Rhinolophus ferrumequinum: one gene and its partners. The protein of the gene in region 1 interacts with the protein of each later gene in a biochemical or structural test. Links are inferred from orthologs where the notes say so. Each region holds a gene or a part of one and is shown in the gene's direction. Other genes may lie near its edges.

Region 1 (7,804 bases):
TGTAAAGGCCCCATAGCTATGTTCCACTTGTAGCTGCATATTCCTTGGACAGAGTGGAAGTATGAAATCCTTTCCTAAAAAGACTCCCATCTAAAGAATCTCTGTGCCTGACAGGATCCTAATCAGTAACTTAAGACAAGGAAACATATTTTGTGCTATTAAAACCAGCTTTCCACAACACACTGTAGATAATTCTGAAAGCCACAATAGTGGGAGTTCTGATCAATTCTCTACATTTGGGATATAGTGTAATTACAATCAATACCGTGGTGCCTACTGGCCTGGAGCTAAGTTTAGAAGTTCAACTGTGGATCTAAATGTTGTTTTCCACCTTTGCTGCTAGAGCTGGGAAAAGGTAGGGGAGAGGAGCTAACAAGATGGAAAGGGCAGAACTCAGTGAAGGGGTTTGAAAAAAGCAAAATGATCTCAAATTTATGACTGGGTGTTTCAAAAAGAGAGTTAAATGAGAGGCTTGAGTGGAATAGGCAGTGGTGAGAGACAGAGGAAAAAAGTCTCCAAAAGCTGGCAAAACATAAGGTCAGGAAAGGCCATAGAAAAAAATATTGCTCTGCATTTAGAAGAACAGGAAATTTGAATCTCAAGAGCAGTAACAGTAAATAGCAGGAGCTATACAAAAAGGAAGACGTTCACATTTCCAATGTTGGCGATTATTATCAAGGGTCAGCAAAACATTATTATGCCTTACTGTATTTTTTTATGTGAATCAACACATCAAAACACATTGTTCTGTTAGGGACAACTGAAGAGTTACCAGATTAACTTTCCTCCATCAATCTAAAACCAATTTTACAACCTTTACATATATACATTTTTCTAAATTATTCTGAAAGTGTGTGACTTTTTAGATTTAAGCCTTACGTCTAAGCAGTACAGTATACTTAAATGTACTCAAGTTTCTTTTATAATCTTCAAAAATATTGAGAATTCCAAAGAGTATTTGTTTGAGGGTTAAACAACATTGTGTTAGAAATTAAAACTGACAAATTATTGAAACACTTATTAATAACTATAATAAATCCATTACATGCTCACATAAATAATATATTTTAAGTAAAAAATAACTATATTTTCCTAACAAAAACTCTTTAATGCCTGGCTTAATAGAACATAGCTGAATTTTCATATATGCTTTTGCAGTCAATGTTGCCTATGTTGCTTTGACTTAAGTATATGAAGAAAATCCAGCCTCATCCAGATACATAGTTGGAAATTTTAATAACTTTATCAGACAATTGTGGATATTCTTCTTTAATACTACGATAAATCTAAACAAATGGTAGTTTCTTAAAGGTTAGTTGCAATGTGGAATCTGAAACATTATCAATGAACTTTTTGTACTGTTACATTAAAATCCACTGGTCTCTCTCAAACCTTAAATGGATGTTTTACCCTTACATGAATTCTGTAATATCATGCATTGGTCATTTGGAAAATATTGGTTCACTGATTTATGCAGATCTTCCAAATGTTAAAACATTTGTACAGTTTCAAGTAATCTCACTTGTTAATATCACCACCAATTTAATCAGAAATGTCTTAAAGTGTATTGGGAAGCTGTCAAGTCAAAGTGGCAGATGTGTTTTCAAAAACTATAATTTTCAGTTGAAAGTTTGAATGTTATCATTGGCAACAAATTCTTCCAGTTTGAAGTGACAGGCTCACATTGTTCATTTTTGATAAAATATCTGCCAAATACCCAACTCCTAATGAACATAATTTGTCTCAATCATTACTTCAAGTAAAAATGGTGTTCTATGAAAAATTGGCTAGTTCAGCTCGTAACTCAACCAATTCCACAAGTGCTTTGCCACATATCTTGGTGTACAGCAGACGAGCTTTATGTATCCTTCACGTGTATCACACAGAATATTAACAAGATATGTACTCAAAAGTTTAAGTTTAATAAAAATTAATAATCTCTACTGCTTCACCAAAAACATTCTAAAGTGGCATTTTTTAATCGTATGTGGTATTAATAAAATTATTACTACTACAGTAATTGTTTTTGCCCACTATTGCTTTTACATCATCAGTGCAAATGTCAATGCAGTAAAAAGGCAAGTAATGTCTTAGTTTTATTATGATAATAGTTTGGGCATTGCAGACTGCCTCCTGAAAACATCTCAGGGGCCCCCAGGTATCTGCAGACTATACTTTAAAATTAATTCTCCCCATCCCTGCTAGAATGTAAATCCCACAATTCCAGGTTTTCTTTGTCTCTTGTTCACTGATATCCCTCCAGGGCCTAGGTCATGCCTGGCACATAGTAGACATTCAATAAATAGTTGCTTAATTAATTAATTACTTAATGAAATAATTAATCAGAACTAGATCTTAACAGTGAAGAGCATATAATCTGCATTACTGGAAACTCATTTTTAAAAATTTAGTTTTGAATAGATAAAATATACAACAGGACACATGGTGAAAAGTCTCCCACTTTGCCTTCCACAAGGCAACTTAAGCTGCTTTCTCAGAGAAAACCACTGTTGTCAGTTTCTTATGTATTTCTCCAGTGATATTTTATGGATTCACAAGTATTATATACACAAGCATATTCCTTTCTTCCTTCGCACATATGGTGGTATTCTATATACAACATGGATTGCATCATGCTTTTGAAAAAGTAAACTTTTTCTTTTGGAATAATTTTAGATTTAGAGACGTTTCAGAGATTCTTGTATACTCTTTACTTACTTCTACTAATGTCAACATCTTAAATAACCCTAATACTTAGTCAAAACAAAGAAATTAACATTGTACAATACTATTAACTAAGTTACATAACTTATTCAGATTTCACTAGTTATGTCCTTTCAGTTCTGGAGTCCAGTTCAGGATACCACATTACATTTAGCATACTGCTTTTTTCCCCCCCTTAAAATGTATTTTTAGGATTGCCTCCTATCAGTTAATAGGTAGTTGCCTTATTCTCTGGAAAAACTCTCTAGAATGACTTCCTTGAAGTAGAATTTCAAGGCCAATGATTATGTGCATTTAAAAATTATCAAACCCCTTTCCCTCAAAGAAATTACCAAACCCTTCTAACTAGTACTCTTGTGATTTGAATGTTCCAAGTTTCTTTGAAGTTCTAAGACTGGGGACTGAAAGTAATACATGTAAAATACTCAAAAAAATTTGCACCCTTCACAATTATTTTTAATGTACTGGAAAAAATACACATAGCATTGCACGATTTATATAATATAAATTATACAATTGTATATACAAATATATAATTCATTGTACCATGACCCACGTATATAATTGGTTACTCTTAGGACCACTAGGGGGCTCTGCAGAAAGGGTTTTTATAATTTATTTTAGTCCGTTTAGGGAAAGGTTTCCCCATGATGCTTTAAAATTCTGAACTTTAAAAACTTGAAAGAGATCACCTAATCCAGCTTTCTTATTTTCCAGGTGAGAAAACCAAGTTGGCCAAGAGAGCTGGCATGGAGGAGAGCTGGAATCAAAAATATCCTCTTGGTTCCTGTGGCAGGGGTTCCAGAAAATCTTTTTTGCCATGTGCCTCCACTGAGTGATTCACTCCCTGTGGCTATTCCCTTTCTTTGCTGCCACAATCTTAGTAATATTTGCTAAGACAGTGTATTTGTGATATTTGTCTAATAGGGTACTTTACTAATTGGTTAAGTGAAAGAAGTGCGTGAAATATAAACTTCTAAGTAACCTTTATTATTCTAAAATGTTTTATTCAAACTATCGAATCACCAAAACCATATTACTTACCGTAAACTCTCGCAACCACTTCACATTGCCTTTCAAACTTACTTTCCATTTAAAACATTTTACTCTTTACTCATTTATTCATTCAATATTTATTAAGTGCCTATTAGTGCCAGATATTGTTGTAGGCCCTAGACTTACAGAAGTAAAGCTGCCCTTCTTCCCCGGAAAACGTCTATTTCTCCATTTTTTACTTTAATATACACGTAAATTATTTTCACATGCTTTAGTTCAGTGGTTCTCATAGTGTGGTCCCTGAACCAGGAGTAGGAGCAGCAGCATCTGGGAACTTGTTAGAAACGCAAATTGTTAGGCCTACCCCACACTCCAACGATGGGGCCCAACAATCCGATTTTTTAAACAATGGATTCCGATGTATACTCAAATTTAAAAACTATGGCTTTAGTTCCACAGCTAGGTATTATCAAAATAGATCAAAGATCAACATCTGGCTTCTAAAACCATCTCAAACATCTCCATGGAGCATGGGACCCAACAAAGACCATATTTAATTCAATGATTTGTAATACCTGGCATGATCGTAATAGTGGCTCTGTAATGGCTTCAGAACAAAAACGGACAGCGGTGGATTTTCTGGGCCTATAAGCAGCAGAAAACCGGCCGGTCTGAGTTCTGGGATAGTGTTTTCATACACAGAGCCAAGCACATTAAGCCCGTGGGTCTGCTTGAGTTCAGGGCAGTGCTCTAAGCCGACTGGGGCCGTACGAACCCATCAGGTTGGACTCCAGCCTTTGGCTGGGGGCTGGAAGCCCGGGGCATACCATACAGGTTTGAAGACAGGCGGAGGAAGAGGAGACGACCGGGGAGGCCGGAGTATGGCAGGCTAGCGCGGAAGCCGCACCCTCCAGGCCCCAAACGCCGGCAGGGCGGAGCCACGCGGCCGCAGCTCCGGCAGAGACGCGCGGCGCGGCGCGACGCGGAGCTCGCGGCTCCCGGCTCGCGGCTGAGGCGTGTGGGGCTACAACCGTAGCGGCTGCGCCGCCCGGTCGGGTCAGCGTCGTGCGCATGCGCGGGGCCGGCGCCATTTTGGTGGCCGGGCACGGAGGTGATCCCATACTGAAGAGAGCGAGGCGGCCGGGGTGGCAGTGGCAGTGTTCGTGTGCTCGGGTGTGAATCGCCGAAGGAGGAGGCAGTGGAGGAAGAGGTGGCGGCGGTGGCGGTGGTCGTAGCGGTGGCGGAGGAGGCGGGTACGAATCAGCTGCGGGCGGAGACATGGCCAACATCGCGGTGCAGCGAATCAAGCGGGAGTTCAAGGAGGTGCTGAAGAGCGAGGAGGTCAGAAATGAACTCCGGGACATCCCCCATCTCAGCCCAGGGCGGGAGGGCCCTGCCAGCGGCGGCTCCCAATATCCCCGGTAACCCCCGGGTGGCCCTCCTTGCGGCCGCCCTTCTGCCTGTGGGGAAGCAGCAGTCTCCCCCCTCCTTCCGCCGCCTTCCCCTCCCCTCCCAGGGCCCTGGGATGGACGGTCTCGCTGGCGGGTCGTGTGGAGAGGAACATGGTTTGGGGGGGGGGACAGATGGAGAAGGGGGCACTTGGTGGTGTGAGCTCTAGAGAGACCCCGGGGCAGTGGCAACAGCTGGAAGTGTGGCTGTAGGGTGGTGGGGAGCGAGCAGGCCGAGCCTGAGAAAACCCGGGAAGTGGGTTGGGGGAAGGGGAAAGGTGGTAACTGGATCCGGAGAGCCGCGCTGCTCAAAGGCCCACACTTTTAAGGGTATTCTTGGTTATAGCCTGTCTGGCCTCCACTGTCCTTTCCTTAAAGGAAGTCCCTAGTTATCGATGAAAGGAGAAGGATGTTTAGAGTTACTCCCTCTTGGTTGGGTGTTGGGAGAGAAGAGGAGACATAATGGGATACTATCGTATTTGAGTGGGGGATAAGGGAATTTTCACCTCAGATAGGAAATTAATTCCAATCTAGACCATTATCTCATTTTCATTTACCTCCGATTCCTAGGCCTCTTTTGTGTTGACACCTAAAGCTTTTGACTGGGTAAAGGCAAGTTGTTTTTTGTATGAAAGGCATTTAAATATTTTTAGCTAGGAAAAAATAATGGGAGTGTATGAGAAGCTTATTTCAAAATATTACAAGTTACAGAAGTTACAGATCAGAAAGCCTCTCCTAAGACAATGCCTTTGTGAGTGTGTTGTGCCATGAAACTTCATTATGATGTGCCTCATAGTTAATTCTTACTTTTAAAAAACAGCCGTATTAAACACATGGGATTTTGCCACATTAATACATTGTTATAGTTCCTTATCAAGTGAGTAGGTATATCATAATATATCTGAAATGATTTTTAAAAAATTTTTGTCTCAATCTGCTCTTGAGTTCTGCAGAATTTAGATGCTCTAGTGTTAGCCACATTTATTTATATAAGATATTTTAAATGTTCTAGGAATTTGACTCAAAACCATGCAAGTGTCAGTAAAATTTTTCATACCCAAATCAACAAGAATACCAGGTTGTTTTTCCTCTTTAGATTTAACAAACAAAAATTAATAAGCAATACTGAAATGATTATTTTCAAGATGTCACATGCCATTATTAAACGTATCATTGCTATTTGTATTTTTCTCTTACGTTGGTACTTTGATAATCTCAATGATTTACTCTTTAAGTGTGTGATGAGTAATTGACATAAATCTGGTAGCACTTGAGCTTTTTTTTTTTTTTTTGCTACGGAGTCTATACTGATTATGTATTTTTCCAGTTAGAGAAAGTAATTCTTTAAAATTATTAAAAAATGACAAATACTAGATTTATTGAGTGTAGTATATAAGTAATGATCGGTTTTGCAGAGCAAAACCTCTGTGTTTGTTCATATGCCAAAATTCTGAATGGAAGGATGACTTTGTATTTTGTATTGCAGAAATAGTGTCATAAATGTACTGATACACAGTGAAACAATGATTTTATTTTTTATTTAATAAGAAGACATATTCCAGGATAGTTGACATATATGTTCCTAATGAAAGATTGCAGCTAATATTGTTACCAACAGCCTAAAACATTCCTTTTATAATAAGGTTGTACAATCCCGAAACTTAATATAAAACTTCTAATGCTTTATTTTCTAATACTTAAAAGTGGTAAGTTGCTGCTCTTGTGATTTATATGGTCTCTGCTTGTATGCAGTGACTTTTCACTGTGATATTCTTAATACTTAAATTGAACCTTAAAAGAAATCTTGTATTGCTATAGTAATGCATATATTGTTAAAATAATACTGCTGTTTATATGTAAGGGATAGTGAGGCCTTGCTTCAAGTGTCTTAGTGTTTCAGAGGAAGAAAACAGGAAATGCAAACACAAACTTTTTTTTAAAGAATCGTACCTTTATAAATCTGGAAGGAATCTTCTTCTGGAAAGTATGTTTCAAAGTACATTTAAGAAAGGGTCAGATAATTTAATTTTGCAATATAACCAATAAATAGCTTTATTGGCTCCAATATTTTATTTCACCTGTGTTTTAGTAGGGCCAGTTCTGTAAGTGAATTATTTTCAACTCATTGAGGGATTTATAGTACAGTCCATGTGTTTCCTTTTTAAGTATATAAATGCACTATCTTGAGTGGTTGATCTAGTAAGCAAGTTTTTCGTGTCACCTGTGTAAATTTCCAGTTTACCAAAGTTTATTTCTTATGCTTGTGTTTACTAAGAATACTGGTTGATTTAAGGATGGGGGGCGGCTTTTAAGTGCCTTTGTAACGATTGCTAATGTTTGCTGAATTCTGGCCATAAAAAGTTATAATTGGCCATTCTTGAAGTGTGTTGTTAATTAAAACATAGCCTCTAAGATAAAGCAAATGTGAAAGGCCAGGTGTAGAATAGTGTGAAGGCCACCATTTTTATCAGAAGGGGAAAATATACAGATTCATATATATATATATATATATAGTGTGATATATATAGATGTAGTTTTGTGTGTGTGAGATGTATATATATATCTATATATATATATTTGAAAAGGTTAATCACAGGTTGGTAATTGGATGTCTGGGACAACATGCACCAAAAGAT
Region 2 (7,725 bases), on another chromosome or scaffold:
AACAGTCAGTCAGACTGTTCGATTTCAACTTCACACTAATGGAAAGTGGCCAGTCCAGCTACACTGCTGCCTGTCTGATGTTCTATTTGTAACTTTAGGTTTCTTGTTGAATCAAGTTCTGGGTCAAAGGAGAAGGTAGGAAATTTAGTTGTGTCTTAGTATACTGATAGTTGTGTTACTGTGTACTTTTTGTAGAAGGTTCTTTTTCAAAAGTGGCATCCAGACTCTGGCATCCAGAATCAGAGATAGTAACTTTAAAGAGCACAATACATGTTACATCTCCCTTCCTATGGGATGAGTCATTTTGCACGCAGTGTGTGCACATGTCTGATGTGTCGAATGAAAAAGCAGGGATAGAGTTATCCTATCTCCAAAGAGAAACTAGTTACAAAATTGTTTGATACCAGAGACAGTGCATAGTCTTCCTAGTCTACTTGAAACATTTTATTCTTCACAGTTTAAATAATTAAATGACAAATAAGCTATTTATTAAAATAGATTACTAATTGGAGATATAAAATGGGTATTTCTTCTCTAAATCCAAGCCTTCTATTTTCTTTCTGCTATATTGCACTTAAGTTGTTACAGGAAGATTACTCTCTGGTTGTTTTGGCATGAGTTAGAAAACTGCTCTGTGCTTTCTATACCAGAGCCTCTAAAACCTTCATGTTTGGATACATAGGTGTTTGACATTGTTTCATCAGGCAGGTTATTTTTGCTAGGTTGGTGCAGGTTTTGCAATTATTTTTAACCTTTTAAACTGCAATTGCTTTTGTACCAACCTATTCCCGGGAAGCATAGAATGTAAAGAGAGACCTTTCACTGTTGCTGTAATAGCCATGAGAGGCAGTATCTATTTTGTGGGTGTCATTTTTTTTAAACAAAACCAGTCGAGTTTCTTAAAGATAAAGGAGTTTGGAATCTTAAAATAGTGAGTACGTCCACTATAAAAAAAAAAAAAAGCACTCTCCAGCACATAGCAGCCATAAAGATCTTTAAAAAAAAAAAAAAGTTTATGAAATCATTTTTAAACAATCTTTTTAAAACTCTTCAAGAACTTCCCATTGTTCTTAGGAAAAGCTCCTAAGTATCTAATGTGAACTACCAGCTAATTCGTTGATTCCAAAAATATTGATTGTCTATTACGTATTTTAGGCTCAGAAAATACAGCTGTGAAGGGGTGGGGCAAAGCCTTAGTTCCCACGGAACTTAACACTGGGGGCGGGTCAGTGGGATGACTGATAGACTATAAACACTACAATCGATAAACAACATAAACAAATAGACAAGATAAATTCCGATGTGATGAGTGCTGTGAAGAAAATAAATTGGGAGGATTTTCTACAGAATGAGCTATTCTTTCAGTTCCCCAGGCTCCATTTTCTCACCCCAGGGAATTTGTACAGGTTATTCCCTCTCCCAGGCCTCCTTTCTCATCTGCCTGCCCTCCCTAACTATCATTCTTCCTTCAGCTCAGGTCTCAGTTAAAAATGTCAATTTCTCTACGTTAAATGTTCCTTTTATATACCTCTCCCGTAGTACCCTACCCACATGTCGCCTTTTTAGTGTTCATTACATTCATAAACAATTGTTCAATGTCTGTCTTGCCACAAGGGCAGGGTCTTCTCGTCTGTGGTCTACTGATCTATTCTCAGTGACCAGCATATAGTAGACGATCAATACATTTTGATGAATAAACAAACAGAAGGAAGATTGGGAATTTCTTTTACTTTTTTCCTGTTAAGGGACATTTCATCCAGAAGGGGTAAAATCATTTGAAAGTTACGCATATGTAAAAAATGCATGGGAGAGAAATGCAATTAGGCTGAACGAAAACTGAATGATAATTATTCAGTGGTTACTTCCTTGAGTTCTAGGTGGCATTGAATGCCATCATGGGATAAATTGTTTTGAGAAGTCATTTCCTAGATATTGGAATTAAGCAGCTCCTTGATTATAAATGAGTATGAAAGAGAAAGAAACGGAGGGAGGGAAGAAGGAGGAGTATGCGCGAATGAAGCATTGAAGGAATAAATGGATGGAGAGATATTCTTTTTTTTTTCCATATTCAGACTTTTCTTTAAAAATGGAAATGACCTCTCCTCCCAATACCAAGTAATGCATGCACATTGTAATATATTCAAGACAACACAGAAAGAGGTAAAGAAAGTTAAAACGACTAACAATCCCTTCACATTTTATTTACATATATATTCATCTAGACTTTTTTCTATGCATATTTTCACATATCTTTTAAATATAAAAATAGAATCACACATGCCATTCTGTAAATTACTTTTTTCTACTAACAATATACCTGAACATTTCTAGATCTAGCTACTCATTTTTAATGGCGACGTAGGAATCCATTATGTAGATGTATTATAAAGTATTTACTATTGAATAGTTATTTTTCTGATTTTGCAGTAAATATAAAAGTAAATATTGAATAGTTATTTTTCTGATTTTTCAGTATTTCAATGATTAAACCTTTGCAAACTTGTCCACTTCTTTTCCTTAAGTTACATTTCTGTATGTGGTCTTGTTGGTTAAACAGTATGGATATATTGAAGCTTTTGATACACATTGCCAAATTGCCTTTAAAAATGTCATGTCAATTTGTACCAGTAGCATACAAGTGTGTCCAGCTCATAGGATCTTCATCAACACTTAATATTATCAATTTTTTAATCTTTGACATTCTGAGGGGCAAGAAAGAGAATTACTGTTTTTATTTTCATTTCTGAGTACTAGTGAGTTTGAACATATTATATGCTTACCAGCCAAATATTTTCTCCTTATTTGAATTGCCTATCCATGTCCTTTGCACATTTTTAAAATGAGGTATTAATCTTTTAAAAAGTCGATTTATAGTACCTCTTTATGGACTTGTGATATTGGCCATATAAGTTTATCATATTCTTGTCAATTTGTCATTTGTCTTTTATTATAAACTAGTATTACCCTTTAGCTCTCATATGTCATGCTGAAATTATTTTTTTCAGTTTGTCATTTGTCTTTTAATTTTACTAACCTTGTGTTTTGACATTCAGCAGCTTTACTTTTATTTATGATGTTGTATTTAACAGTATTTCCTTTCATGGATTTTTGTGTCATGTTTGCAAAGTTCTTCGATATCCCTAAGGCTATAGACATATTTACTTACACTTTCTTCTACTTCTTTTGTGACTTTATATTTTATGGCAAGACACATCTGCCTTAACAATATATCAAGGAGTGGCTAATGTTATTAGTATAAGCTCAATATCGGGCTTAATAGCATTGCAGGTCACTGAAGAATTTGTTTTACACATTCTAAATAAAAGTTCTAGTACATAATTATGTAATATAAGATAAAAACTGAGTAGAGACACAGCACCTAAATCATACACATATACAGTCAAAAATGATAAGATGATTCAAGTCTGCTGCGAAATTGAGCCGGGAAGTGTGTACGAGGGAATTGGGGTAACTGGAGAGAAATACTTATATTCCAGGCTGATTAAATGGCCATCATGCTGAGGGGAGTCATTCTCTCAAACAAATATTTGAGCTGCCTGGGGAGGTAACAGTGAACAAAACAGAGGTTTACTGCTCTTATGGGGTAAACAAATTATATCTTTTCAGATTAAGTGCTTGAGAGAAAATCAAGCAGGTAGGGTAGGAAAGCTGTTCTTTTAAATAGGGTGGTTAGGGAAGTTTTCTCTGGGGGGACGACAAATGAGAAGAGACTTGTTTGAGAGGAAAAATATGAAGGCAAAAGATTCCAGCCTATGTAAAGTTGTAAAGGGGGAAGAATCATAAGAATGCCCGTGTAGGTGGAGTGTTACTTGAAAACACAGAAAATAGAAAAATGGAAAAAGAAACATGGCAACACCCTAAAAACTTGGGTAAGGTCGTTTTTCTTCAAGTGGGAAACGGGAGTTGGATTCTGTGTGACTCATTCTTTAGTGTCCTTCAGGCATTACTATCTAGGAAAGGCCTTCCTTAACTGCCCTTTCACAAATTCCAACGTTATCAGATTTTCCCACCCTTTCACAATCACCGCCCCCTTTCAAGTATTTCAGAGTTACCTTGTCAGAAGAGGTCATCTCTGACCACTCTTTTTAAAATTGCAGTTCTCGTTTTCCCCTACCGTGCACTTCCCACCCCTTTCCCCTGGCTTGCCGGCTTTTTCTCCTCAGAATTTACCAGCAATTATATTCTCATTCTCCATGAGAGCCGGTATTTTGATGTTTTAATTTCCGCTGCATCCGCAACATCTTCAATTGTTTTTGATATACAGTTGGCGCTCAATAAATGTTCAACATGTTGAACAAAAGGTAGGATGTGTATGAACTGATCTGGACTCATCGAGTGAAGCGACCTCAGGTTGGACTAATATCGCATTTCTAGGTCTCCGAAAAAGGCTTCAAGCACTCAGAGGGTTGGGTCCCTCAGTTTTCAAAATGGGAAAGCGAAGGTTCCCACAATTCTCAGAACGCGAATTTCTCGCCACAATTCAAAATGGCGGAGGAAGGTGGGGCCTGTCACATGGTGGGCGTCACAGCAGCTTTCCTTTTCCCGACCTCGGCCGCTCGGCCGCGTCGGCCTGTGCCCCTCCTACTCCCGCCGAGCCTTTTCGAGGAATCGCCTGCGATTGGCTAATAGGCGGGAGTTGGGGGGTGCTGCGGGGCCGGAACGCAGCATCATCACTTCCTGTTGTGGGCAGTCGTTTCCGGTCGCTGCTTGGTAACAATGGGGGAGATAATGGCTGCCTGAGCAACGTCTCGCAGCAGGCGCTGGGCTAGAGGCGGGTCTCTAGCAGCGACTCAGCGGAGGCGGGCTTGAGAGCGCAACAGGGGAGGCGCGCAGGGGCCTCGGCGGCGGCGGCCGAACCGACCGAGTCGGATCCCGACACTAAAACCCAGTAAGTGAAGCCTTGGGAATCCTCTCTGAAAGGGATGGAGAGCGAGAGGAGCACAGCGGAGCCTCGGCTGCCGCGTTTCCTCAAAATGGCCTGAGTACTGCGTCGTGGCCGAGGCTCAGCTCCTCCTTCGGACCCCAGGCCCCGGTTGCTGTGGGGGGTTCCGTGGCGTAGTCGCCGCTGCCATTTTAATTGGGTGTATGGTCGACAGGCTCTGAAGAAGAGGAAGGTGCGGGGTAGGACTTCCTCTCCGTGGCCGCGCTAGCCGCAGCCGGGGCCCTCCGGAGCCTCTGGAACGGGGGGAGGCGACTTTCGAGTGTTGGCCTCAGGCGTGACGATCTTTCCTGGTTTCGGGGTTTTCTCCTCGGTTCTGTGGAAGCTTCCCTCGCCTCTCCCCGCCCCTTTTACATGGTGGGCTTGGTTTGGGAAAAGGGAAAATCGGGCTGCTGTAAGTCAGATGCTGGGAACTCTTGGGCCTTTAGATTTCCCAGGATTTGCAAAAGCCCATTTTGAGCACTTCAGGGCACTATCAATTAGGCGCCCCCTGAGGCCATGATGACATCTTCCCTGAGGATCTGAGGCAAATGTGGTTTACTCCCTCGCTCGAATAACCCCGGCGTATCCTTTGCCAGATATCATCGCAAGGACCCCCCGCTTCCCCCCCCAGAAGAGAAGAGAGGGAAAAGCCTTTGCGTGTTTGTTGTTTTTCCCTGGGAAAGGGTGGGAATTGGGCCAAATGATTTTCAAGTTAATTTCCGTTCAATCAGCCAACAGCCCAACCCCTCCCCCCTCAAAAAAAAAAAAAGCCTAAGGGTCTCAGCTTCTGCGGGCGGTACCTGCCACGTACGCCATAGCTTTAGTAACTAGTATTAACCGGTTGGGCTTCTGCTTCCTGAACACTCAGTCCCTTTTTCCCTTATGCTGATTAATTTCAAGATGGAGGAGACAGCCACGTTCCTTCCCTAGACAGTTTCACCATACTTATTCCACAGGTTAGTCCGGGAATCTGAGGCCTAGCAAGCGTGTTATTTAGGTCATTCTTTCGTTTTGGGGCAAGAGGAAGCATTTATATCAGGGTGTCATCCACCATTTGCAAGGCCCACAACAATTTTTTTTGCTGGAAATAAGGAGCCCGCATTTCCTGAATCAGAATTAACCGCAATGGCTTTGAGTGATTGAAGGGAGGAAGAAATAAACGTAGTACTACTACTAATCTTTCTTTCACTCTTCGTGTTTAAATACAAAATAACTACTCATATCACTCCATCAGATATATTATGTCCATCCTGGATGACTTGAGAGCAGGCAGGCACAATTACATCCCCCTCCCCCATCAGTTTTCTACATTGTAACAATAAAGTATCCAGGAAGACAAATTTAAACGCTTTAAAATGTGATTTTTAGGACCCTCTTTTTTACAGAAAAATGTTTCAAAGTCTTTAGGACCCTCTTTTTTTACAGAAAAATGTTTCAAAGTCTTTATCCTAAGATGTCCTGATGATCTTTCATACTTTGTAGTTACTGCCACTGCCTAGTACTATTTTACAGAGGTAACTGTAGTGTGCCGAATAAGTCCTTGAAAGTAACAAGTCGAATCTGAAAATAATTACAGGTTTGATAAGGTAAGGCCTATTTTAAGTAAGCTTCCACTAAAAGGTAGTTTGACTCTCAGCCTTTAAAGGAAATCTTATATTTCTGGTTCCCTCTGACCTTCTCAGTCTCCCCAAATATCAATACTAATGTTGAATTAGGTTGGGTAATGGGGTGTGTGTCTGTGTAACAAATATGTAGGATGTGTATTTTTTAGGATGTGTCTGTTTCAAAGAAAATGTCTGTCTTATAAAAGAGGAAGAATAATGGATTCTTTTTTTTCCCTAGAGCAGAGAGTGAAGAAAACTAAAATCCAGTTTATTGTATTACAATACTATGTCATAAAAGTCAGGTAATTTATTTTTTGTTGCGTCTCCTGATGATTTATGTGTAGAATGTGTGTTTTAAAATCTGTTTTGCAGGCCCTGTAATTGGATGGGCTTATTTGATATATGTTAGTTGATGTTGCGTATACTTTCACGATGAGAATGGATATTTTTCACTGGTAATTCATAGAGTAGTGTTTCTGAGTAGCTGGAACTCACTGGTGCTTTATCTGTGAATTTTCCTCTTTTAAAATAATGTCTGAAGTTTACCAGTACCTGTATAGAACAGAAGGAACAAAATAGAAATTTGCTGTATTAAATCATTGTTGGAATGGGATGGGTATAAATAGTGTTTAAATGTTTGTTGAATAAATAACATGTCAGTAGAATATCTTACAGGAATATAATCTTACATTATTTTGTGTGTCCTATTTTTTCCTTCAAGATCGAAAAATTATATAATTGATATATAATACTCTGATTGGTATTAACTCTTTTCATCATCATTGTTAAAGTAACCACATAATTTATTGCCCTAGCTGCGATACTTTTAAGAGCAAAAGGGACGTTATTCTTAATCATGCCTGGACAACAGGCACAAACAAGATTGTCCCAGGCAAACTGGGATGGGTAGTTAGCCCAAATTTAAAACCAACTAGTACTGAATATTTATGTGCTAGGTCCTGTACTTCACATGCATGGTTTTATAATCATCACAGCAAAGCCTCACGAGGATGTTAACTCTTTTACAGAAGTAACCAAGACTCCGAGAAGTGTTTATTAAGCAATTTGTCCTCAATTAAATAGCTAATAAGTGGTAGAGTCCCCATTTTAACCCAGGTCTGTCTGATGCCCGAAGTCACTAAACTTTTATGCCTCTAGACTTAATTGCTATCTAATTAG
Region 3 (8,011 bases), on another chromosome or scaffold:
AGATGAGATCTGATTAGTGAAGTTTGCCAAGGGAACAGTATTACCATCAGACCCCTTATAATTGGTCCTGATTTCTTCTTTCAACCACAATAATATTATGTGTGCTGCAAACTTAGATCACTACATACATCTGTTTTCTATTATGTTCAGAGCTAAAATATGGCATTGACATTTCAATACTTGGTGATATCCTATGTATAGTCTCTGCCAGATGTTTTTAAAATTACTTCGCGAAGGACCGAAAAGCTAATGGGGGCAGGTAGATGTTACTGACCCTTAGTTAACTCTCAGGTAGAGCTTTCCACTTGTAAAACTGTGAATTATTTCGTCAGCTTTCAGTTTAATACCTCAGCCACATTTAGGTGAATTTTAGTACATACACAATTTTTTTCAACTGGTCTTAGCTCCCTAGGCGTCTGTAAACTCTAGTTTTCTTGGCTTTTTTTTTTTTTTAAAGGGGCTTTGTTATATTCCACAAATCTTTATTGAGCGCCTCCTGTGTGCCAGCTCCTACCATGGCCTGTGGATGCATTGTTCAGCAGCATGACTCTTCACAGAGCCTAGACACTAAACCCATCTCCTTGCTCCATGACTAGGCTGAGGGCTGGCCAGGGCCAGAAGCACTAGTGGTCTGCTCTGTGTTGTACCATCAAACGTAATTTCATTCCACTCTCCATCATAAAGCAGCTGAGACTTACTAACAGTAGACCTGGGTCCCATCTCTGGCTCTGCCACATACAGCATTTGTGACTCCAGAAAAGCCACCTGAGGACATGCGTTCTCTGCAGGTTCCTTCTCCCTCATGTAGGAGAGAGAGCCCTCACTGCATAGGCTGTTTCCAGGATTTACATGTCATGGTGTAAAAGAGAACGCTCACCACCATGTCTCACACATGGTTGGGACTCAGGAAATGATACTTGAGTCTGCATGACGATTCCTGCCATTTTGGGGAGGTTTTAGTAAAGACAGAAAGAAGCAAAAAGACATTGAAAGCCTAGTAGCTCTGACATTGACACCGTGGTTGCTGGACGTGGGGCCATCTTTTCTTCCTTTGTCTCTTGAATGGTTCAAAACATGGGCTCTGGAGACAAGCAGGTCAGATCTGGTTGGGGTTCTGGTGGCCCTGCATACTCCTGTGGACTCGTAGGCAGCATACTTCACCCTCATGGTCTCAGCTTCTCATTTGTAAAATTGGGGTGACAGTTATACATCATAGGGTTGCTGTCATGATTAAATGACATCATGTGTTTCTGATATTTAATAAGAAGATAGTGTCTAAAAAATAAGATAAGCATACAGTAGTAAATAGCTGCTTTTACTGTTTTCATTATTTTTATCTTTGCTATTATTAGTTCTATTATTGTTTATTAGGCCTAAGAGATTTCCTGAGGTATTGACCTCGTGAAGATGTAGCCTTGGTTGTACAGGCACCAGCATGTTTTTATAGAGAAGATTGAGGAAACTCTTTAGAATTATCCTTTCCTATTTTACAAAAGCAGCTAAAAGCCTTTTCTTCTCATGTGCCTAAACATTAGACATAGAGCAATATAGGAATCGATACTAGAAAACTTGATGTAGTAGGTATAGGATTTCCAGAAGGGGTCAGCTGTTCAGATTGTGCAGTTCACTTGGGTGCATTGTAAGGCACTCTATTCTTTGTCTCTTATTTCATCCTTTCTGCCCATTTTTGAAATACTGTTTATGTCCCTATAGGTAAACCCGTCGAATCACAGACTCCTGTTTGAAGTATTTGATGAAAACAGATTGGTAAGTGGTTCCCAGTTTTTCATTTTTGCTTCATTTTTTTAAAAACTTATTTTTTTAGAACAGTATCTTTTCAAACTCTGTTTATGTTGTACTTCTGACAGTATATATGCCCCTCAAAAGACTTTATTTTTGTTCCGTTACTTGTTCACGATTCCAACAAATATTTTTGCATGTCTAGGACAGAAATTTTATTTGTGTGTGTGTGTGTGTGTGTATATATATATATATATATATATGCACGTTTTTATCGTAGTGGAAATATTGGTGAAAGTCACATTGCTGATATATTAAACCATATACTGATGCTCTTCTGTTGGGAACGTAGAGAGGCAGGCAAATCTGTGAAGAGACCATCACTCATGTAAACGAACCTTTCAGGGATTTTAACTATAAGACAGACTACAATACTGTCACCTATTCAATAGTGAATCTATAGTGATTCTCTTCGGGAAAATAAAAATCTAATTAACAGTAAATAGAAAAAAGTGAGTCTATATTTAGCAGGTAAAATTAAGCTGTATTTTAAACGTGGTACTTTTTCAAGGGAAATTAGTAAAAAGTTCCTTTAAAGAACGAACCAAAGTTACACCTGAAGCATAAAGCTGATACAAACTAGCATTTTATATAGAGATCGATAGATAGGTAAGTAAGATATAGATATATATCATTATATAACTGGTAAAAGTAAGATTATGTTTTAGAAATGGAATTTCAGAAGCCTATCCGGCTTTCAACATTTTGCCAGTTAACTAGAATGTGTACATCAAGTACCCGTGAGTCACGTGTTCCAACTATGAAAATGAATGTCACTATGTTATGTGTAAGCTTTTGAGTTTTACTCTTCAGAAGTCGTGCCATAGCTCTAGTCAGTTGTCACTCAAATTTACTTTCCCTGAAACTTACGTATATTTTTTTGGTTGAAGTGAATGTTCTTATGAATGCGTCTTGCTGCAGGAATTCACCTGAAACCCCCCAGTTTTTGAATAGCTTAAGATGAATAGAATATTTGATGGGAAGGCGCCTCATAATACAACTCAGTTATCCCCATTCTGTCCAGACCTCTTCCGTAATTTAAACCTGTCCGTGAGTTATAACGCCCTGCTGGAACCTACTGTTCTAGTCTCAGGCCAGTGGTAGTGAATAGCAAGGCTTTCTATCCTGATTGTAGAATTTGGCAATGTATTTGATTTCCTACGCTTGGTATTAGTCTCCAGATTAGAAAGCCAACAGATTCTGGCTTACCACCCTGATATCTTTTCTATTAAAAATGTAGTTGGGTTCTTGGTGGCTTTGTACTGAACTCAACATTTTACACCTTGGATAATAATTAGTCATCCCACATAACTAAATCATTCTCGCGGTGTGTGTGAACTTATTTTCTCGTTAAACTGAATGAATGAGAGATTCTGCTGAGGGTGCTGTTCTCTGCCCCTTGTCTCCATCCAGGGAAGACTGTGAATTAGGTGGTGGTCAGTAGAATGACAGTTAAGTCGCTGGTGACCTAGATGCCCCTGCAGACTAATCCTCATTCTCTCATTTGCTGAGTACGATAACACTTCTTCAAGGTGAAGGAAGGGTCAAATTTGAGGGAAAATGGCCTCTTGTCAGATGTGTCTTAATAATTTCATTTTCTTCCATTAAGAGAAATTCACTGTCAAACAATTTAAGGTTCCCATTTCCAATATCTAATACAGTGACTGTTGTTGGGATGACCTCGCCGTGGACCTTCAACTGTTACTTGCAGACCACAAAGGGCTTTGAATGCAGAGCTTGGCGAGATCCTGTGCGAATACAAACTTAGTCTGAAAAACTGTTTCATGATATTAATACCTAGCTTTGCCCCAGCCCATCTCCAGTGTTGTTACTATGCGGTGAATGCTGCTGCTGGTGTTTTTTTCCTTTGGCTATTAATCCAGCTAAGACAATACGGGACTGTAGTGGCACTTGGCAGTTTTAGCATTAAACAAACTAGCATCCATTTCTCTCATAGAGATCGTTTTTGGCATTTAAAACACATGCCTTTAGCAAACAGGTTTGGTTGTATGTAAACGTAGGGTTAATCCTCCACGCCCTGCACTGCAGAGCTGTTGACAAAGTCATGCTTTGCGGATGTTAAAATAAACTTTTTGTCACTCTTTGCAGCTTGCTATGTTCCCCTCCTAGTTTTTACTCGGTCCTAAATAAGCCTCTTTGTGAAATAACTGATGTTGCTGGATATGGAAAATAGTAAGTTTAAAACACACAGAATCTGTCCAAGTTAACTACAAATCTGATGACAGGTTTTTGAATGTGGACTTTTATTTCTTAGCTCCTTCTTGGCCCTTTGCAAAAAGAGCAACATTCCATGTGTGTATCCCAACTGTGTTCATATTGCTGACTTCTTACTGGAAAACAGTCAGCCCCGGACAGCCTTTTTTTTTTCTGTATGGTATTGAACTTAACGACAAAAACCACATGTACACCCTTCTTCAATTTTCCTTTCCTTATTTTGGGGTGTGTGTGGGGGGAGGCGTAGTTGTTTTTTCTCCTATCTGGCATATGTTAGAAAATGTTTTCTCCAGCTGCGTCCCTTTTCTCTGGTCCTTCCATGTCTGACAATCATACTGTATGTGTGAGATCAAAACACCGCCCTCCCGTGAAAAGTCTTGTAGTAGCGGGAGCCAGACCACTAACTGGCATTTTTGTAAGTTGTGCCCCCTCCACTTAGCTATTTTGTTACTTATAGATCATGGTCTAATTATCTGGCATTAAAGGGACAGTAATTCTGTGGGGTGTGTAGCCGTATTTATAGTACGTTTTATTAGTTTGCATTCCATGGGTAGTGTGGTGCTATCATAAATAACAGGAACACAACCTCCGAGGATTGGGAACAGGTTTTCCTAGAGCCAAGGCATTTTTACTTGTCGGCATTTGGTTCTGCGGGGGCGGTGGGGAAATACCGCGTGTGCTTGTGTGTTCAGTGCCAGGTCTCTGCATTGGGGAGAGAGAGTTCTCGGTGCCCGGCTGTGTTCGGAAAGAACTGGCTTGTGAATGTGATGCGGTTCAGATTGATAGCAGCATGGCTCCAAGTGTGTTTGCTGCTTAGTCAGCTGTGAGAGCTCCCTGCTGGGGCCACTCCTGTCTGATGGAAAAGCAGCAGCTGGGAAGGTGCTGTTTCAGGCTCTTGCTGTTTAAAAAAAAAAAAAAAAAAAAAAAGGCGAGAGGGGGAAAACTCCACTACAAGTCCACAAGCTGGCATTGGAGGGGGAGACGGCAGTCATGTGGTTCTGGCCATCCTACCCTCTGTCACAGTGTGGATGAGAGCTTTTTGCTCTTACCCAATCATGCCTGGAATGCCGCTCGCCACTTGGGTTATTTCTGCTATCTGTCGCTCTCGGTGCCGCAGTGCTAACGGTTTGGCAGATGGGACTCTTTTTCTTGGAGTTTGTGTCTTCAGTTTTTGACTTCTGGCAGCGCCGGGCGTGTTGCTGCTGCTCGCCCTCTCCCTCCCTGCCCTGCCGGGCACCATGGCCCATCGGCTTCGGTTTCATTTTGGCTCTGGTCGCAGCAACACAGCCCCCGAATCAGAGATCCTCGACCAGGAGAGAGAAGACGACTTTTTCATGGCATTCCACACGCTGCCACGGAGGAGCGGCCCGCACCCCTTGGCCCACAGTGGAGCGGAGGCCAGCGGCAGCCTGCACGAGGCTGTGGGCGCGCTCGAGCGCAGCACGTCCATGTTCATCCCGCAGCTCCTGAGTCCCGTGGACGCGCGGCCCACCCGGAGCTCGTCGGTGCAGATTTCGCTGCAGCGCAAAGCGGCGGACGGCGCCCCGGACACGTGTGGGCTGTCCGAGGGTCTGGACGGCGACGCGGGCTCGGTATCTCGGGGCAGCTGCCGGGAGCCCCCAGAGCCCCAGGCCCCTGAGAACTCCCTTCCCAGGGACGCCAGGGGTGCCGGCCCCCAGGTCAATGGCACGTGTGGCCGTCAAGCGCGGGGCCCTGTCCCTGCCGATGGCCTCAAAGAGACCGAACTTGCAACCGCCCAGGGTTCCGAGGGTGGCGGGCTCCGGATCCAGCACCGAGCCTCCAGCGCCGATGTGCGCCAGGTGAAGCTGACACCGTTCGGGGCCGATGGCCAGGGCAGCCCATCGGCGCCGGAACCCAGGCGCTGGTCCCTGCAACACGTTCCAGATGCTTCTGGAAGTTCTGGGAAGCGGTGCTTTGTCTTCCAATTGCAGCAGCCATCACCAGGCGTGCCAGGACTAGGTGGTGACTTTAATTTTGGGTTCACGGGCACGAAGGGGGATAGGTTGGTGAGGTACCCCCGCATCCGACTGGAAAGGAGCACCTCGTACCCCACGCAGCCCCGAGCGGAGCGCAGCAGCCCCACGGAAGAGCGGGGCCACCCAGAGACACCACCTCGGGGCCACAGGGTGGCTCCCGAAATCCACAGGACAAATTCCATGGAAAGGACGCCACAGGGTCAGGGCTGCACGTTTAAGATCAGGCAAGATCAAAATGCGGGACAGCAGCATTTCAGAATTCTTGTGACTCGGGGACCAGAGGAAGCTCACCAGAATCCTGAGGAGAGTACCACCACCAGGCCTGGTTCCATGGTGGCTGGAGCCCCGGTAAGTTAGCGTGCGTGTAGATGTGGCCGCCCGTCGGAAGGGACTGATTCAAGCCCAGAAAGCTTATTCTGTAGTGTAATTAAAATAAACTTCATCCTCCTCCCTCTGGGAGTTTCCCTGCTTTGGGCCAGTGTAACTTAACGGTGGCCAAGTTGTGCTCTAGTGTTTGGTCGAGTTCCATGAAACTGGTTAGCATTGCAGAAAAGATCTTTCCTTTAGGTACTACTACTCAAAGCCAGACAACTCTGTCTGTTTTGAAAATCCAACCCGTCCCCTCCCCCACCCCTTTCCCCCTTCTGAATAAGAAGATTTTAAAAATTTATTGCTTTGAATTAATCTGCCAGTGCCCCAAGACGTTGATATTGGAAATATATTTAAAAGTGATTTGCAAATATAGTCCATGACAACACTTTCGTTGGGAAAAAAAATCAATTCTAAATACAGGTGAAAGAGTATCACCAAAAACTTCAATCTACTTTCTTCATAATTAAATGTAGGACAAGTGTGACCAATTCTTCCTAATGGCCTTTTTGCTATAGAGGGTCAGCCCTTGTTACATCGTTTATTGTCTTTTGGATTTTTTTGTCCCTTAAAACTGAACGAGTGTAGTCACACTTGTGGGACAGTAAGAAATGCATTTTCTGAAGCAAATTGGCTAAGAGACACTGACCAGGGACTTGGTAATGGTCAGATGGCATGGCTGTGCCATTTCACACCGCCCACTTGAGTGTCTAAGCCGGGATGCTGTATATAGAATAGTAAGTGCCCTGTCTCCAGCTGTGGACACAGATGCCCAAGAACAAATTTTAGCCTTTATTGTTCCTGTGTTCTTGCTCTCTCCCTTTCCGTGAAATGGAGTACAGAAAGACAGCTGCTAACCCCACCGGGCAAATCATGACTTGGCAGCTTTCATAGTTTGTAGTGGGATGAAAAGTTTTAGCAGTTAGCTTTCTTTTGCTAGTAATCACTAGCCATTAAGAGCTTTTTCTTTTTTTTTTTTTTGAGAACAAGCTCCTTATCTTTTTGAATTGGATTCCCACCCCCACCCCCACCCCCGAATTTCATGTGATTACTGGTTTGCATATATGACTATGAAATGTCTTGGGGACTTTTTGTGTGGGTTTCGTTTATGAATTGTGACTTTTCAAAGTAGACGGCTGGGTGTTACTATAGAATTGTATCATCTTTTATTGCTTTATGTTTGGCCATTCAAGTACACTTGATCACTGCTCCATCATTTGTCTTCACCGCTTTGGAAGGGGTAGATGCTAAAGGCAAATGTTACAGTTTTCTTGGTGTTATATAACTATTCCTTCTTACCACTTCCCTAAGCCCCTTTCTTAGGAAATGGCTTAGTGCTGTGTCTCAGTCTGAACCAACACCATTTTTATACAGTGGTTCAAACTTCAATAAAATTTTGATATTATAAGAGCTTTTAACCTTGACCCCAAGAAAGCACCATCGTGACAGTTATGGGCTTTGTTGGGCAGCACACGTCCATGCTGACCTTGGACCACCTACCACAGGAAAACAGACAAGCAAAATGCATTTCCTAACGTTTTGATGACTATTCGATTGTGTTACCAAAAACTTATATCATTTGTGCAGTTAGAGATGAAGGACAAATGGAT
Region 4 (7,525 bases), on another chromosome or scaffold:
GGCAGGAGACCGAAGAGACTTTAGGTGTGTCTCTACACCCAGACTCCCACAGGGTTGTCGGCCCCTCCTAAACTGCACCCCACGTGTGGCCCTAGCTTGCTCGAGTGTCCACATGGGCAGATGTGACCACAAGGCCCTCCTGTTCTCTGCCAGAGCTTCCAAAGTGATCTCAGCACAGTGAAGAGCACACCCTCCACCTGCTGCTTCCATGCCCACGGACAGGCTGAGCACGTGACGCCGTACGCTGCCGTCAGCTGCTGAAGCCAGGCTTCTGGGAACCAAGAGCCAGAGGTAAGGGTCGCTTGAAAGCGAGCGGGTGGCAACATGAGGTGCCCCTCCCCTCACCTCATGGTCCAGTGGGAAGGCAGAGGGACTGCGCTCTGTGCCTCTTACCTGTCTGGTCAGAGGATCAGCGGGCAGACACAGAGGCAGCCACCATCTCTGGAGCACTAACCCCCATGCCAGGACGCCAGATGCCAGGCAGGGCTGGTCCCCACCCCCGAGGTCCCATGTGCCTGCCTCCTGCCTGGGACGACACCAAAGTTCTGGCCTAGACAAGAACTCCAACAGTAGGACGAATCGGACGGTTCCAGTTCTACACACACTTCTACTTTATTATGGCGAAGGCGAAAATGCCACCTTCTCCACAACAGCAACCAGTAAAATTTATCCCAAAAATAACTCAGTACAAAACAGGTCTGTTTCAGAATTAAAAAAAAAAAAAAAAAAAAGGGAAAAAAAAACCTTTACATGAGTTTTAAATCCTATTTTAAAACGTAAGAGAAAACTTCATCATTGGCCACACAGCCCCAGCCCGCCAGCCCCTCCCGCCAGGGAGCATGGACGAGCCGCCTGGAGCCTGTCCTGTGCACAGGCTTGCTGGTCTGTTTAACTGGTGTCCATCTGAAACAGAGGAAAGAGGTTCTTGCTCGAAAAGAGGTCCCAGTCACCCCTCCCGGTCTTGGCTGGCCCCCATTCTGACCCGTCTAGGACTTACTCTCGCATTATAAGCGTCCAGCTGGGCGTCCAACTCCTCTGCGGAAAGCTGCTGCTTTGAACTCCTGCCCGTGCCTCTGCCTCTGCCCCGGCTGCCTCCACGGGCGCCTCGCCGAGCGCCACCGCCGCCAAATCCTCCAGAACCACGGTTCCTAGTCATCCCGCCTCTGTTCACACTAGCGAGGGAAAGGAGACTCCTTCACACACGTGGCCAGGCCCACAGGCTGAGCGATCACACCACAGGCCAACCCCGGCCCCGAGGCCCCAGAACTCACCTCTGTATCGGTCTCCGCTGTGTGTCAATCTGTGACGTGACGAGCTGAATGTTCATGGGGCGGCCTGTGGCAAAGAATACAAGAGGGCACGTTCCTGTTAGAGACCTCTGACGCCCACCCAGGGCACCACGCCCCGGTCTCCATGCAGGCACTGGGAAGGGGCCGTGCGTGTCTCGATCGCTCGCGACAAGAGACGGCGCCGACGACAACCCACCACCACCTCCTCGCTCCTCAGTCCAGCTTAGGAGGGTGTCTGGTCAGGTGTCCAGGCTGCTCATGGGCGGAACGGTGTGGGCGCCCTGCCAGGAGGAGAGCTGGTACCTTTGTTTACGACTACAGCCCCGCACTCAGAGGTGTACTCTGGCGGCTGAGAAGGCTTCACAGGAGTGAGTCTTCCGAAGGAGCTGAACGAGGGGAGGGATGTAGCTTGCTGGTGGGGGTTCACAAGAGGTTGGTCCACATGTATGGGGCAGCGTGAGAAGTGGCAGAGTGGGAGAGAGACAAAGGGGCGAGTGCAAAGTGTCCTCAGCCAGAGGGGAGAGCCATATTCCTGCATGGACGGGTGCCAGCCCCAACTCCACAAACCAGGCGTGGCCCCTCAGTCTTCTTGGGTCCAATCCCAAACGCACCATCCAGAGGGACGCCGTTGTACTGTTTCATAGCTTTCAGGGCGTCTGCCTTCCGTTCAAAGTGCACGTCGGCTGTTCCCAGACTGCGTCCGGAGCGGTCGTAGTGCACGGCCGCTTTCTTCAGAGTGCCAAACTCAGCAAAGAGTTCCTGGGAGTTAGAAACAGCAACTGTCAGCGGGCTCTTTTCCTTCTGCTGGCCCAGGGACAGTCCCTGGAAGTGTGAGCTACTTTGAGGGGATTTCCCTGGGGGCAGGGCAGTGGTAGTGGGAAATGGGGGCAAGGATGGGGCAGGTGGGACAGCCCCCTCCAGGAGCAGCTGGGCCTGAGGGCTCCTGCCAACTTGGGGACCTGACATCTGTACCACGATGCAGGTGAAGGGCCGCAAAGCCCATCAGTGCAGGGCACGACATGAGGTCACTATCTCCTTCAGCAAAGGAAAGTGTACAACACACCCACGGACTGTGCCAACAAACAGCAAAGGCCAAGACCACAGCTCAAGGGGCGCCGTCTGACATGTGGACCAGCTCCAAGGGCCCTGACTCGGGAGCCCTGACCCAGCCCCTCCCCCGGGGCAGATTCTGGCTCACCTTTCCCTCTCCTCCTACTCAAGCCTGCCGCAAAGTCTGAAGTCAAGCGCTGCCATGGAAACTGCCCTGACCTCAGGCAGGCTGGGAGTTGGAGAGGGAACCCAGAGTGTGGGGCTACTCCGGCCGCAGGCACACAGCGGGAAGTGGAGTTCACCAAAAGCGGTTTCCAGTGGATGCCAGAAACCACCTTAAAAAAAGTGTTGAGACACTGTGAGTGCTCATCAGCCTTGCTCTGTCCTCCCACAGCTGGGCTCTGGGAAATTGAACCCAGGAAGGCCCAGAACCCTGACCCGGCCATCTCCAGGACTGACCCCCAAGATGTTGTCATTTAACCAGAAAATAGGTTTAAATGCCTTTGAGGTTCAATCAAAAAAAGAAAAAGAAAAAGGGGGGGGCGGGAAGAGGCTTCAACCAAAGATGGGTCGGCAAGTCATGCTACTAACAAGACCTGAGGGATGGTGGTGAGTGGACCGGCACGTGTAAGACACAGGGCTCACGGCCGACAGCCAGAAAGACGCCCTGGCCTGCTTCTGTGCTGTCACCTCTACAGAGGTAGGTCTTTCTCCTCTCAACGAATCATGAAAACAAGCACAAAGTAAAGCAAGCAAGCAGCCCAGCTCCATCAGTAACACAGGAACCACGCGAGTCTGACCAGTCTTTTCCTGTTAGAAACGGGAAGCTCTGGCAGAGAACCTCACTCACGGAACAGGTTTTAGTAAGGGAGGGCAGCGGCTCCTTACACTAGGCTGGGGGCCTGTTTTCCAGCACAAATGGACCTACTCCTTGCAGGTTCAGCTCTAGCATGACCTCGGCTCTCCACCCTAGCAGCCCCTGACAGGGGACAGTGGCTAGCCCTCGGGTGTCTGGGAGGGCTCAATGTCCTAAGGTGGGAAGGGATTCAGGGCCACATCCCAAACGCCATCAATTCCGCGTGGGTCAACTACCGACCGACAGGATCCTGTCTCTTACCTGTATGTCAGCGTCCGACACTCCAAAATCCAGATTGGACACCAGCAGTTTCCCACCGGTCTCCACGCCGGCACCACCCCCAAAGCCGCTGTCGAAAAGGTCATGTTGCCACTTGTCAGGAAGTTGTTTCGGCTGAAGGGGGAAAACACACAACAGAAAGAAACCCGTGAGTTGCATTCCAGGGCTGCCCCTCGCCCTCACTGCCCCTGGAAGACCCTCTCCCAGCGGGGCCCGGAGGAAAGTGCGGAAAGGGGCCTGAAGCCCTCCGCTTCCCGCCCGCGCCGAGCCGCAGTCGACCCTGCCGGGGCCCCACGTCCCGCGACTTTTCCAACTAACTTCTCGCCGCCGGTGTGGCCGCGGAAACGTCCCCTCAGTGCCTGCCGCCACGAGGCTCGGCGGCCAGACAAAGGCCGGGAGGGTGTCCGCCTCCCGGGCCCGGCCGGCGCGCGACCTCCCGCCCGGCCCAGCGCCCGCGCCCGCGCCCACCCGCCCGGCCCGGCCCGTCGCCCTCTCGGCCGCGCGCCGCCCCGCCGCGCCGCTCCCCTGCCGCGGCCCGCCGGCGGCCTCCGCACTCACCCTGCTGTAGGGCGCCGGTCGGTTCCTGCCACCGCCGCCCGCCGCGCCGCGGGCGAGGGCCGGCCGGTTCCGCATGGGACCGCCGCCCCGACTCACTCGCGCGGCGGCCTGTGCTCCGCCGCCGCGGCCTCCCTGCGAGCCAGCCCGGCCGCGGCCCCGACCCCCGCCGCGGCCGCCTCGCTGGCTCCGGTTCAGCTTAATGATGTCGTCCAGAGACATGTCCATTTTGTCGGCCATGGCGGGCGCGGAATCGGCCTCGGCTCGAGCCCGCGCGTCAGCACGCCGGCGCGTCACTTCCGGCGACGCGCGGGGCCTTCCGGTGCCGCGTTCTCGGAGCGGCCGCCGATTGGTTGCAGGCCGGCGGAGGCGGTGGGGGCCGGGGCGGCGCGTGCGCACTGGGACGCGGGGGGGGTCAGCGGGCTCCACTGCCAGGTCCCGGGCCGCGGCCGCGGTAGTTTTTGTAGCTTCGCGCGCGGGCTCCGGCGCTGCCAACTGAAGGCGGGCGGTGCTGCGCGCGATTAAGTCCGCTTGGGCGCGGGGCGGGGCGGAACGGGGCTCGTCGCCCCTCCCCTCGGGCGACTCCGGCTGGGTGGTGGTTTCCCGCGTGAACTCACAGCAAGCGAGGTTCGAGTCTCTGCCCGTCACCCCCAAGTTAGTCATGTCCTTCAAGAAGTGCTGTATGGCACGTTGTGGCAGTTTAGTAGCGAAAGCCAGCGCGCCCTTTGGCCGGTCTTTGCAGATGCCCTGAGTGCGTGGCGAGTATCCGGGGCTCCGGTCCTCCCACGGGCGACCCCTTTAGCCGCCTTTCCCCCTCTCGGTGGCTACAAGGGTTTCTCAGAGCCGACCCTCTGCCTCGGGCAGCATCCCTTGTTTGGTGTCTAAATGCTGTCGCTCTGCAGACTAAGGGCAGCAGGTGATGTCTTCCCCTCGCCCGCAGGCTCCTCCGTCATGAAGGTGAAGATTAAGTGCTGGAACGGCGTGGCCACTTGGCTCTGGGTGGCCAACGACGAGAATTGCGGCATCTGCCGGATGGCCTTTAATGGCTGCTGCCCGGACTGTGAGTGTCCCCTGTGCTCGCTGTGTCTTGAGCTCTGTTTACTCGCCTGGCGGTGCTGTCTCCCCCAGAAATACCCGCACAAAGTCCCTGGGTTGTGGTCTCCCTTTTCTCAAGAAAAGTTGGCAGAGAAAAGGTAGGCGGTTTGGGCCCATATTTGTATAAAGACACCATCAAAAGTTTTGTAAGGAGAAACAGTACAGCCTTTTATCACGATCAAACTGGGCCGGGAAACTCAGGGGACAAAGAGATGCATTAAAACCTTTCATTTGAAAATTCTCAAACAAGAAAAGGAATATTAGAAGGATACGCCCTCCATTGAGCACAGGGAGTAACAGTGAATAACGTTTCCATGTTCGCTTCATGTGTTGCCTCCCCCCACTCACTCAGTCGCATTTAAATGTAACGCTACTGTTGTCACATCAGACAACCTAAGAATTCCTCTGTGTCACCTGTGCCCATCCCTAGCCCACATTCAGATTTCTCCGGTTGTCCCCAAATGTCTTCTTCCCCAAGTGGTCTGAACCAGGACTCCCCGTTTCACTACTCTGCTCCTTAGCTACTCAGAACAGCCCTTCCCCCGCCCCTCTTTCCCCTTTAAAGACACCTGACTCCTTGAGGAAACCCACGTGTTACCTTGCAGAGTGCCTACCATCAAGTTTTGTTGGATTTCTTCTTTGTGATGTCTTTTGCCCTGTTCCTTTGTCGTCAGGATGTTCTGTGAAGTAGGAATGTTTGATTATATATTTAGGTCAAAAGCAGATTTTTGCACCAATGAATTGAGTTTTTTAGTCAGACCCAAGTGAACCCAAAGCAGAAGCAAGGGTCAAGGCTTTGTCTAGGGTACAAGGGCGGTCCCAAGAGGGAAGGGGGGCTTGGGGACTCCTGAGGAGCTCCTCACTGCCCTGTGAATGACCAGGTCTTCGTGGGGCTACATGAGTGCCCAGAACAGTAACCGTGCTTTGCTTCTTACAGTGAAATGTAAACCATGGACTTTTAGTGCAAATACTTTTTTCTTCTAGGCTTAATCTTTATATCTGCTTTGGGTGAAAAGAGATCTCATTACCCAGGAATCAGTCCATCCTGATTTAATCAAATGGGTGGGACTTAATCTTAGGAACTCATTGATTGGCTCTACTTGATCAGGTTTCACTTAATGAGAACAGCGATGCGCAAGGCTTGGTTTGATTTAATCTATTTTTAAATCGCCCTTCCTGAGGGTACCACAGAGACAGTGGGAGCCGGAAGGAGCAAATCCTTGCAACTTTCTATGCAGCAGATTGTTCCTTTCTGAAAAGGCCTCAAAAGCATTTTTGTGGCCGTGCCCTTGGTCAGTGTGAGCTAGTGAGCCTGTATAAAGATGGCACCACTGGGCCTGCACTGCCTGAGGAGCCCGCCAGTATTATTCCAGCTGGGCCTGTGGCTGGGCATCTCCACATGTGGGCCTGCCAGCTGCGAGAGTAGGGGTTCAGAGTCTGATCCTTGGACCCTGTGGAGTGAGCCAGTTGTCAAGTTCAAGGCGCCTGATGAGCATGAGGTGCTTTCTGTACAGCTGAGGTGGCACTGGGTTTCTGTGGCTGAAGTGGAGCTCCTGTGCGGAACGACAGCCTCTGAGCCTATGATGAACCTGCCCCGTGGCCCTGAGGGCTCTGGGAGTAAGTCTTGTTGAGGGGTGTTTTAACTAAAAAGGACTTCCATCAAGACACTAGCAGGCCTTTGGGGGAGCCACCGACCTGGTGTTCGTGTGCTCAACACGTGCCCCCGGCAGGTTCCTCTGTCCACGTGCTCTGCAGCAGTGGCTGGGTGGCCGGGTGCCCCACCAGGCGGCTAGCAGGCTCCTGCTCATGGTTTTCCATCCTCTATTTGTAAGGGACTCTACTTTTTATATGGTGATTCCAAGGGGCGTTCTTTCTTCTGAGGTTGGAAAGGCCCGGGGGGCCCGGGGTGGGGGGGGGTGGGAACTAATCTAAATCAGGTGTCACACAGTGTGGCCTCCTGCACAGGCCTGGGAAGGAGAGTGAGTGACATGTTTTGTATTTGCTGAGCACATAATTTTCTGGTGGTTTTGTCATAAAAGCTCAGGAAGCAAGGGACATTTTTGTTTTAGAAAGGATTTTTAAAAGGTTGAGAAACATTGTCCCGAACAAGTGAATGAGAAGGTGGAGCGGTGGCCACTTTCCCTCATGACTTGGTGGATGGCTGTGCCCTTTGGGTGGGGAACTGTGCGTGCTCAGCAGACGCCAAGCGTACTTAGGAGCCCATGTTTGTCCCTGACCCAGTACCCACCCCGGCCGCCTGTCTGAGATGGGGTGCCAAGGAGGCTGCAGAGTGCTGAGAGGCTGGAGGAGAGTGCAGGCCGTGTTCCTAGCCCCTTGTTCTGTGCAAGCGGTTGTTAAGTGGGGTTTTGAGAGCATTGTTTTATGGCTCGGCCGTAGTGTT

The links.
Region 2: the proteins of UBE2K (region 1) and RLIM form a complex in vitro, tested with the Homo sapiens proteins (2 studies listed by BioGRID). The link is inferred for Rhinolophus ferrumequinum from reciprocal best matches to the Homo sapiens genes UBE2K and RLIM.
Region 3: the proteins of UBE2K (region 1) and NEDD4L form a complex in vitro, tested with the Homo sapiens proteins (2 studies listed by BioGRID). The link is inferred for Rhinolophus ferrumequinum from reciprocal best matches to the Homo sapiens genes UBE2K and NEDD4L.
Region 4: the proteins of UBE2K (region 1) and ANAPC11 form a complex in vitro, tested with the Homo sapiens proteins (3 studies listed by BioGRID). The link is inferred for Rhinolophus ferrumequinum from reciprocal best matches to the Homo sapiens genes UBE2K and ANAPC11.

What each region holds. Positions count from the first base shown.
Region 1 is NC_046288.1:14,523,907-14,531,710, reverse strand, and holds the start of UBE2K (ubiquitin-conjugating enzyme E2 K), read left to right. Parts: upstream 1-4,794; 5' UTR 4,795-4,998; coding exon 4,999-5,061; intron 5,062-7,804. UniProt on the Homo sapiens protein: Accepts ubiquitin from the E1 complex and catalyzes its covalent attachment to other proteins. In vitro, in the presence or in the absence of BRCA1-BARD1 E3 ubiquitin-protein ligase complex, catalyzes the synthesis of 'Lys-48'-linked polyubiquitin chains.
Region 2 is NC_046284.1:371,547-379,271, forward strand, and holds the start of RLIM (E3 ubiquitin-protein ligase RLIM), read left to right. Parts: upstream 1-4,723; 5' UTR 4,724-4,909; intron 4,910-6,789; exon of another isoform or gene 6,790-6,848; intron 6,849-7,725. UniProt on the Homo sapiens protein: E3 ubiquitin-protein ligase.
Region 3 is NC_046302.1:47,055,681-47,063,691, forward strand, and holds the start of NEDD4L (E3 ubiquitin-protein ligase NEDD4-like), read left to right. Parts: upstream 1-5,000; 5' UTR 5,001-5,273; coding exon 5,274-6,380; intron 6,381-8,011. UniProt on the Homo sapiens protein: E3 ubiquitin-protein ligase that mediates the polyubiquitination of lysine and cysteine residues on target proteins and is thereby implicated in the regulation of various signaling pathways including autophagy, innate immunity or DNA repair.
Region 4 is NC_046304.1:54,669,751-54,677,275, forward strand, and holds the start of ANAPC11 (anaphase-promoting complex subunit 11), read left to right. Parts: upstream 1-4,514; 5' UTR 4,515-4,656; exon of another isoform or gene 4,657-4,780; intron 4,781-4,969; 5' UTR 4,970-4,980; coding exon 4,981-5,089; intron 5,090-7,525. Other genes in the region: ALYREF (THO complex subunit 4), read right to left, coding at 889-903, 998-1,172, 1,272-1,335, 1,901-2,048, 3,457-3,588, 4,033-4,269. UniProt on the Homo sapiens protein: Together with the cullin protein ANAPC2, constitutes the catalytic component of the anaphase promoting complex/cyclosome (APC/C), a cell cycle-regulated E3 ubiquitin ligase that controls progression through mitosis and the G1 phase of the cell cycle.